Anolis sagrei: one gene and its partner. The protein of the gene in region 1 purifies or fractionates together with the protein of each later gene. This does not show direct contact. Links are inferred from orthologs where the notes say so. Each region holds a gene or a part of one and is shown on either strand. Other genes may lie near its edges.

Evidence for each region. Proteins that work in one complex are often made in the same cells at the same time.
Region 2: the proteins of ETV6 (region 1) and LRP6 purify together in Homo sapiens (affinity purification with mass spectrometry; 3 studies listed by BioGRID and IntAct, counting the BioPlex papers as one, with this or other methods). This does not show direct contact. The link is inferred for Anolis sagrei from reciprocal best matches to the Homo sapiens genes ETV6 and LRP6.

Annotation. Positions count from the first base shown.
Region 1 is NC_090025.1:101,567,006-101,570,750, forward strand, and holds the start of ETV6 (transcription factor ETV6), read left to right. Parts: upstream 1-1,619; 5' UTR 1,620-2,463; coding exon 2,464-2,499; intron 2,500-3,745. UniProt on the Homo sapiens protein: Transcriptional repressor; binds to the DNA sequence 5'-CCGGAAGT-3'. Plays a role in hematopoiesis and malignant transformation.
Region 2 is NC_090025.1:101,786,632-101,790,376, forward strand, and holds the start of LRP6 (low-density lipoprotein receptor-related protein 6), read right to left. Parts: upstream 2,644-3,745; 5' UTR 1,812-2,643; coding exon 1,757-1,811; intron 1-1,756. UniProt on the Homo sapiens protein: Component of the Wnt-Fzd-LRP5-LRP6 complex that triggers beta-catenin signaling through inducing aggregation of receptor-ligand complexes into ribosome-sized signalosomes.

The DNA of each region.
Region 1 (3,745 bases):
CCAAGTCACAGTCCCTCAAACTGTTGAAGGGCCGGATTATAAAAAAAACAAAAACAACAATGAACGAATTCCTATGTACACTGTACAATTTTAACAAATATAAACTTATTAGCATTTCAATAGGAAGTGTGGACCTGCTTTTGGCTGATGAGATAGAGTTGTTGCTTTTGTTGTGTGCTTTCAAGTTGTTTCAGAGTTAGGTTGACCCTGAGCAAGGGCTGGGTAAATGACCTTGGAGGGCTGTATCTGGCCCCTGGGCCTTAGTTTGAGGACCCCTGATCTACAGAGACACCTGCTGGAACACCTCAGCAAGCGAGAGTCCAAAAGTGGCAGGCTAAAACCTAGAACCTCAACCGATGGCTGATACCAAATGAGAGACTCCTCTCTGGGCAGGCGTGTAGGCAGGATTTTGATTCGGGGGGGGGGGGGGGGGCTGAGTCTGAGTGAAAGAGAGTCTACCATAGCAAACCTTTTGTATCATTACCCCAATACCCCCATGCATATGGAATATATTGAGCATGGTGATCAGATCATGATATGAATAAACATATCAGTTTAAATAATGTACCAGTAAGGCCTTTTTGCGGACCACCATGAGAATTTCGGGGGGAGGGGGCTGAAGCCCCCAACCCCCCCCCCCCCCGGTTACATGCCTGCCTCTGGTCACAGAAAACTGGGCGACTTGGAAGGCGCCGAACAGACTGCGCTCTGGCACCACAAGATGCAGAGCCAATCTTCAGAAATGGGCTACAAAGTGGAATCCATGACATGCGAGTGTGGAGAGGAACGAACCACAGACCACCTGCTGCAATGCAACCTGAGCACTGCCACATGCACAATGGAGGACCTTCTTGCAGCAACACCAGAGGCACAGTGGGTTAAACCCCTGTGCCGGCAGGACTGAAGACTGACAGGTCGCAGGTTCAAATCCAGGGAGAGGTGGATGAGCTCCCTCTATCAGCTCCAGCTCCTCATTGAGGGGACATGAGAGAAGCCTCCCACAAGGATAAAACATCAAATCATCTGGGTGTCCCCTGGGCAACGTCCTTGCAGACGGCCAATTCTCTTACACCAGAAGCGACTTGCAGTTTCTCAAGTTGCTCCTGACAGGACAAAAAAACAAACCAGAGGCACTCCAAGTGGCCAGCTGCTGGTCAAAGGACATTTAATAGAACACCAAGTCTGCAAATGTTGTGTTTTGTTTGTCTGTTTTTTTTAATGCAATACAACTGTTTTGGTTCACTCCTGACAAGATAAATAAATAAGTTATGCTTGGGGGGGTCCCCACAACATGAGGAACTGTATGAGGAAGGTTGAGAAACATTGTACTCGAGCGAGAGCGCGAGCCGTGCAGAACTCGGGAGCAGCCGTGTCATTATGAAGAGAAGCACACAGTTTTCCCGCTTTTTTTACAGACTCATCAGTGACTCCATTGGCCCCCGCTTTGGGCTTTAACTGCGCGTGCGCGGGAGGCGCCAACGTGTTGCCCCCCCTCCCTCTTTCCTTGCCCCCGCCTCGCTTTGTGTAACCGAAGCCCTCGCTTCCTGGTCGGAACCCCTGAAGGGGGCAGAGCGCGAGCCAGACTCGGCTCGGCGCGAGCAGGCATAGAAGCCCCCTCATTGGCTCGCCTGTTTGCTGTGGCAGGCTGAAGCAATCCCGCCAGCCAGTCTCCCCGTTTCCCTCAGCAGAGGCCTGCCCCACCCCCACTCGGCCTGGAGGAAGCAGCTTCCCCTTTCCTAGTGAGGGGAGAGGGAAGAAGGAAGGGCAGGAAGCGGGAGGAGCGCTGGCTGCGCGCCCTCTCCTCCTTCCTTCCCTCCCTCCCTCCCCCTCCTTCCGCTTTTGTGACTGCCCATTCCCTCCTTCCCCTCCCCCTCTCCTTCCTGTTTCCTCTAAAGATCCCTTGTATTCACTTCCTTGGTTCTTTCTCCCCCTCCTTCCTCTCTCTCTCTCCGTATTTCCTGGTGTGCCTCCGTCCCCTTTAAGAGGCAGAGCTCAGTGCTGGGAACTCACGTCACTTTTTTCCTCAGCCCTGAAACTCTCCCGATCGATGCCCGAAGGCGGAGAGGCGCCTTTCGCTTTCTCTCTGCCGGGAAAGAGGCGCCCTTGTCGCTCCTTCCCTCCATCCAGGGGCCCCGGAAGGCGGGCAGGAGGAGGAGGAAGGGGAGGAAAAGGAAGAGGGGGCCCCCCTCCACCCCCCAAAGGGGCCATGCCCGCCTCGGCTCCGGAGGCCACCGGGCGGAAGGCGCCCCCGCAGGAAAAGCAAGCGCGGGCCCGAGGAAGTGGGGCATAGCTGGCCCGCCCGCGGTGGGCAGGGCAAGGCGGGGAGGCTTCCTTCCGGGAGGAAGAGGAACAGGAAGAGGAAGCCAGCCAGCGCGGGGGAAAAAGAGAGAGAGAGAAAGCCAGCCGAGAACTTCTTTCTTTCTTCCTTCCTCCTGCCTGTGCTTCCTCCTCCTCGGCGGAGACATGTCGGAGGGTCCTCCTGTCCAGTTCTGTATCAAGGTAATATACATTAGATCAGAAGGAAGTTTGAACCGTGGCTTTCTCCCTCCAGCAGATCCTCCCCCCTCCTTTGTCGTATTTCGAGTTAGGAAGTTTCTTGTGCGCCGAGGAGAAGTTTCCCCCTCCTGGGCAGGGAAGCCACCACTTCACCAAACCCAAGCCCTTCTTCTGCAGCTTTGGTGAAGCGTGGGTCAATCTCCCTCCCAAAGACTGCTAATAAACAAACCGTTTCCTGTTGGGAAACAGTGGAACTCCCTGCCGCGGGGCGTGGTGGAGGCTCCCCCTTTGGAGGCTTTTAAGCAGAGTCTGGGTGGCCATCTGTCGGGGTTGTTTTAAATACAATTTTCCTGCTTATTCACCTTGTTGCCTTGTGTTCTATTTTGAAATGGTCATATGACTGATCAAATAAATAATAATAATAATAATTATTATTATTATTATTTTCCTGCTTCTTGGCCGAATGGGGTTGGATTGGCTGGCCCACGAGGTCTCTTCCAATTCTATGATTCTTTGGATGCAACTTTCCTGCTTCTAGGCAGAAGGGGGTTGGACTGGATGGCCCACAAAATCTCTTCCAACTCTATGATTCTTTGAATGCAACTTTCCTACCTCTTGGCCGAAGGGGGTTGGACTGGATGGCCCACGAGGTCTCTTCCAACTCTATGGTTCTATGTTCCCATTGATTGCCTCCCTCCCCTGTTTTGCTCCAAGGCCCCGCCACGAGGCTTTCGAAGTTTCAAAGTTTGAGGTTTATTTTTTAAATATAGGACATGCACTGTAAATATACACACGGCCCCTTCTTTGTATTCAATGTTTGTGATGTTGGCTAGAGGGGGATTTTAAAGCCAAGTTAAAGGGCTGCTATCAACTTGTTTATTTTTTAAAGTATTTTTTATTCAAAGAAGTTATAGTGATACAATAAAAGAGGGGGAACAATATAAGTGTATAGGAAAGTTGAGAGAAAAAAATATATTAAAAAATTTCCAGAGGGGAAGAAAAAAAAGGGAAGAAAAAAGGAATGTATATAACTTACTAGCTGTCCCCTGCCACACATTGCTGTGGCACCATCTGGTGATCTGGGAAATAAAGTAATGAGAAAGTGTTGGTTTCTGATATATGTAATTTCTTTATGCTTGTGGGTAAAAAGTATTTTTTTTTTTTGCTGTTTCTTTGTCAGTATTGATGTGGAGATTTGTCTGGTTTGCCTACTCTGGAACATGCAACATATCATTGTCCTTCTTTAGGG
Region 2 (3,745 bases), about 220 kb from region 1:
CTCACACTTAGCCCCCTTCTACCCTGCCATATAAAATCCAGATTATCTGCTTTGAACTGATTATATATATGGCAGCGTAGAATCATATAATCTAGATAATGTGGATTATCTGATTTGATAATCTGGATTACATGGCAGTGTAGAAAGGGCCTTAAAATTACAACTGAGGCCCCTTTCACACAGCTGTATAAAATACACATTGAACTGGATTATATGGCATTGTGGACTCAGATAACCCAGATCCCTTCCAGACAACCCCAATATCCCAGGATCTGATCCCAGGTTTTCTGCTTTTTCTGCACTGCCAAATAATCTGGGATAAACAGAAAATCTGGAATCAGATCCTGGGATATAGGGCCTGTCTGGAAGGGCACCCAGTTCAAAGCAGACATTGGGACTTTCCACAAAGCCACATAACACAGAATATCAAGTCATATAATCCACAATATCTGCTTTGAACTGGATTATCTGAGTCAAGACTGCCATATAATCCAGTTCAAAGCAGACAATGTGGGATTTTATAGAGCTGTGTGGAAGGAGCCACTGTGGAGTATCTCTCTTGATATTCTGGGTTAAATGGCTGTGTGGAAGGACCCCGAAATTAGGGAGAGATTATGTGGAGCTCAGTCCCCATGCAATTCAATCCGCACACCCACAACCAAGCATTTGCTTATTTGTTTATATACAACTTTCAGTCTCATCTAAACGATAGTTATTTGTGTGAATTCTAGTGTGGCTTGGTCTCAAATTCAGGAAATGGAGAATTATTTAGCAAGGCCTCTTCTACACTGCCATATAATGCAGTTCAAATCAAATATTGCAGTGTAGGGCCATTCTACACAGCCAAATAACCCAGAGCCCTTCCAGATAGGCTTTATATCTCAGGATATGATCCCAGGTTTTCTGCTTTAAACTGGATTATGAGTCCACAATGACAGCGCTCTTCCACAAACCCTATATCCCAGAAGATCAAGGCAGAAAATCCCACAATATCTGTTTTTAATTGGGTTATCTGAGTCCACACTCAGATAATGCGGGATTTTCTGCCTTGATAATCTGGGTTCTGTGGTTGTGTGGAAGGGCCTGGAGTCCACACTCAGATAATGTGGGATTTCCTACCTTGATATTCTGGGTTCTATGGTTGTGTGGAAGGGCCCTGAATCCACACTCAGATAATTTGGGATTTTCTGCCTTGATATTCTGGGTTCTGTGGTTGTGTGGAAGGACCTTGAGTCCACACTCAGACACTGTGGGATTTCCTGCCTTGATATTCAGGGTTCTATGGCTGTGTGGAAGGACCCTGAGTCCACACTCAGGTAATGTGCGATATTCTGCCTTGATATTATGGGTTCTGTGGCTGTGTGGAAGGGCCCTGAATCCACACTTTGTGGGATTTCCTGCCTCGATATTCTGGGTTCTATGGCTGTGTGGAAGGGCCCTGAGTCCACACTCAGGTCATGTGGGATTTTCAGCCATGATATTCTGGGATATAGGGCTGTGTGTGGAAGGGCCCTGAGTCTGAAGGCCAGTGTAGAGGGGGGCCTGAGAGAAAGGCCCAGAACCAACACATATCCACGGATGAAGGCAGGATCCCCGCCCCCTTCCAGCAGCCAGGCCTTTCCCTCTCGCCCCTCAGAGGTGTCCCTGCCTTGAGTAGACACACACAACTCCTAGGGAGGAGAGCCGCCTTGATTCCCCACAAGGCCCAACTTTCGGCCTGCCTGCCTGCCCGCCCGCCTCCCTCCTTGGCTCTCACCTCTCGCCAGGGAACACAAACCGCAGACGAGGAGGCTCCTCAGCACGGCGCCCATCTTCCCTCCTCTGGCTCTCACCGGCGGGGAGGCGAAGGTGGCGGAGGGGGAGGAGGAGGAGAGCGACACCTCCTCGGCCGCCCTCTCATGCTTTCGGAGGGGCAGAAACGGAGCGGCGCCGAAACAATTGCTTGGAGAGGCCTCAGCCGGGGAAGGGTCTTCCCCTCCCGCCTTTGTCTGTCTTCTCTTCCCGGAACAAACACTACTCGGCGGCCGGGGAAGGGGCGGCGGGAGGGCAGGCGCGCGCCCCCATGGCCCCCGCCTCGCGCCAAAGGAGGCCTCCCTCGCGCACTCGCTCGCGCACTCACTCCGTCGCGCGCCGCGGCCTCCCTCAGTCCAGGCAGCCTCGATCCCCCTTCCCTTTGGAAGCCCGGGAGGGAGGCCGCGCGCAGGAACTACGCATGCCTGCAGCCTCGCCTGGGTTTTCCGAAGGCACAATCTCCCTTCCTTCTTTCCTCCTCCAGCTCCTACGGCAAAGGCATTCACGTCGGCCTTTGCTCGCCCGGGCCCTTTCTTTCTCCGGCCTGCTTTCTCTCAGCCGCTTCAGTCCTCCTGGCAATCCGCTAGCCCTGCCGCATTCCTCAGGGACTTCTTGACGTCTCTCGGCTTGAGGAAAATGGATAAAATAATCACACAAAGTGATGAGGCTCCGGCAGCGTAGCACCCTGGACCTGGGAAGGGAGTGTCGGAACTACTTCCAGGGACACCGCGAGAGCCGCAGAACCAGCAGCACAAAAGAGGAGGGGGAGGGGGAGGCGAGGAGGCTGGGACACATCCGCCGCGCCGCCCAGGTGAACGACGCGCGGCTCCAGGAGGCAGGACGACGAGGATCCCTCCGCCAGGAGCGCCCAGGGAGGGAGGGAGGGAGGGACAGAGGGAGGGAGGCGGGCCTTTTCCTCGCGCACTCGCCAGGAGAGCATTGGCCGGGCTGTGGTGGAGATAGGCGGGCAGGCCTTGGCAGCGGGTGGTTACCTCACACAACTTGGGTCCTTCCAGACAGGCCCTATATTCAAGCATCTGATTCTAGGTTTCCTGTTTGCCTCAGATTATCATGAAGCAAAAAGTGGGCGCTAGAAACAACATCATAGGAAAGCTGACTGGCACAACCTGGGGATCACAACCAGACACAGTGAAGACATCTGCCCTTACGCTATGCTACTCTGCTGCTGACAGGGGCGGCTCGTCCATTACGCGAAGTAAGCGGTCGCAGAACACTTTTTTTTGCCAGGGGCGCAGAGGCGCCTCTGTAAATGCCCCTCGACTGCCACTTGAGGAGCACCCCCTCAGCTCACAACAGCCCTAGCAGTCCGGGGGGAGCCTCGGCTTTCTTGCTTCGCTGCCGGGCAATCCTCTTCCCAAAGGGGCCAGGCCCTTGAGCCTCGCCTAGCCCCTCTCGTTCCTGCTCCACCCGGCCACCGGGTGCGTGAGCAGAGCCGGCGCTCAATCATTCTCCGCGTTCGTTCCCTTCCCCATGACCGGCTCCCTTTCCCAATCCCCCGGCACTCCACCCGTCTCCTCTCCTCTCCCCAATCTTCGGGTAGGCCAAGGGGCGGAGCCGCCGCACCTGGCCTGCTTCGGGTCCGGAGGCATGTCTGAAGACCCCAGCGTGCACACCAAAAGTTGCCTCTTCTCCTGACTTTCTCTTCAGCCATTGGGACCGAGAGAGAGAGAGAGAGAGCCCCTCCGGCTGGAGGTATCTCCCACCTCTGCTCCCTCCTTTGTTTTTGCTCCTACCTTCAGGAAAGGTGGCATTCTCCACCTCTCTCTCTCTCTCTCTCTCTCTCTTGGTCCCAATGGCTGAGGAGAAAGTCAGGAGAAGAGGTGACTTTTGGTGCACACGACGGGTCTTCAGGCACGCCTCTGGACCCAAAGCAGGCCAGGCAAGGGAGCAAATGCGGCAAGTGTAGTTACTGGGATGTATAGTTCACCTACAA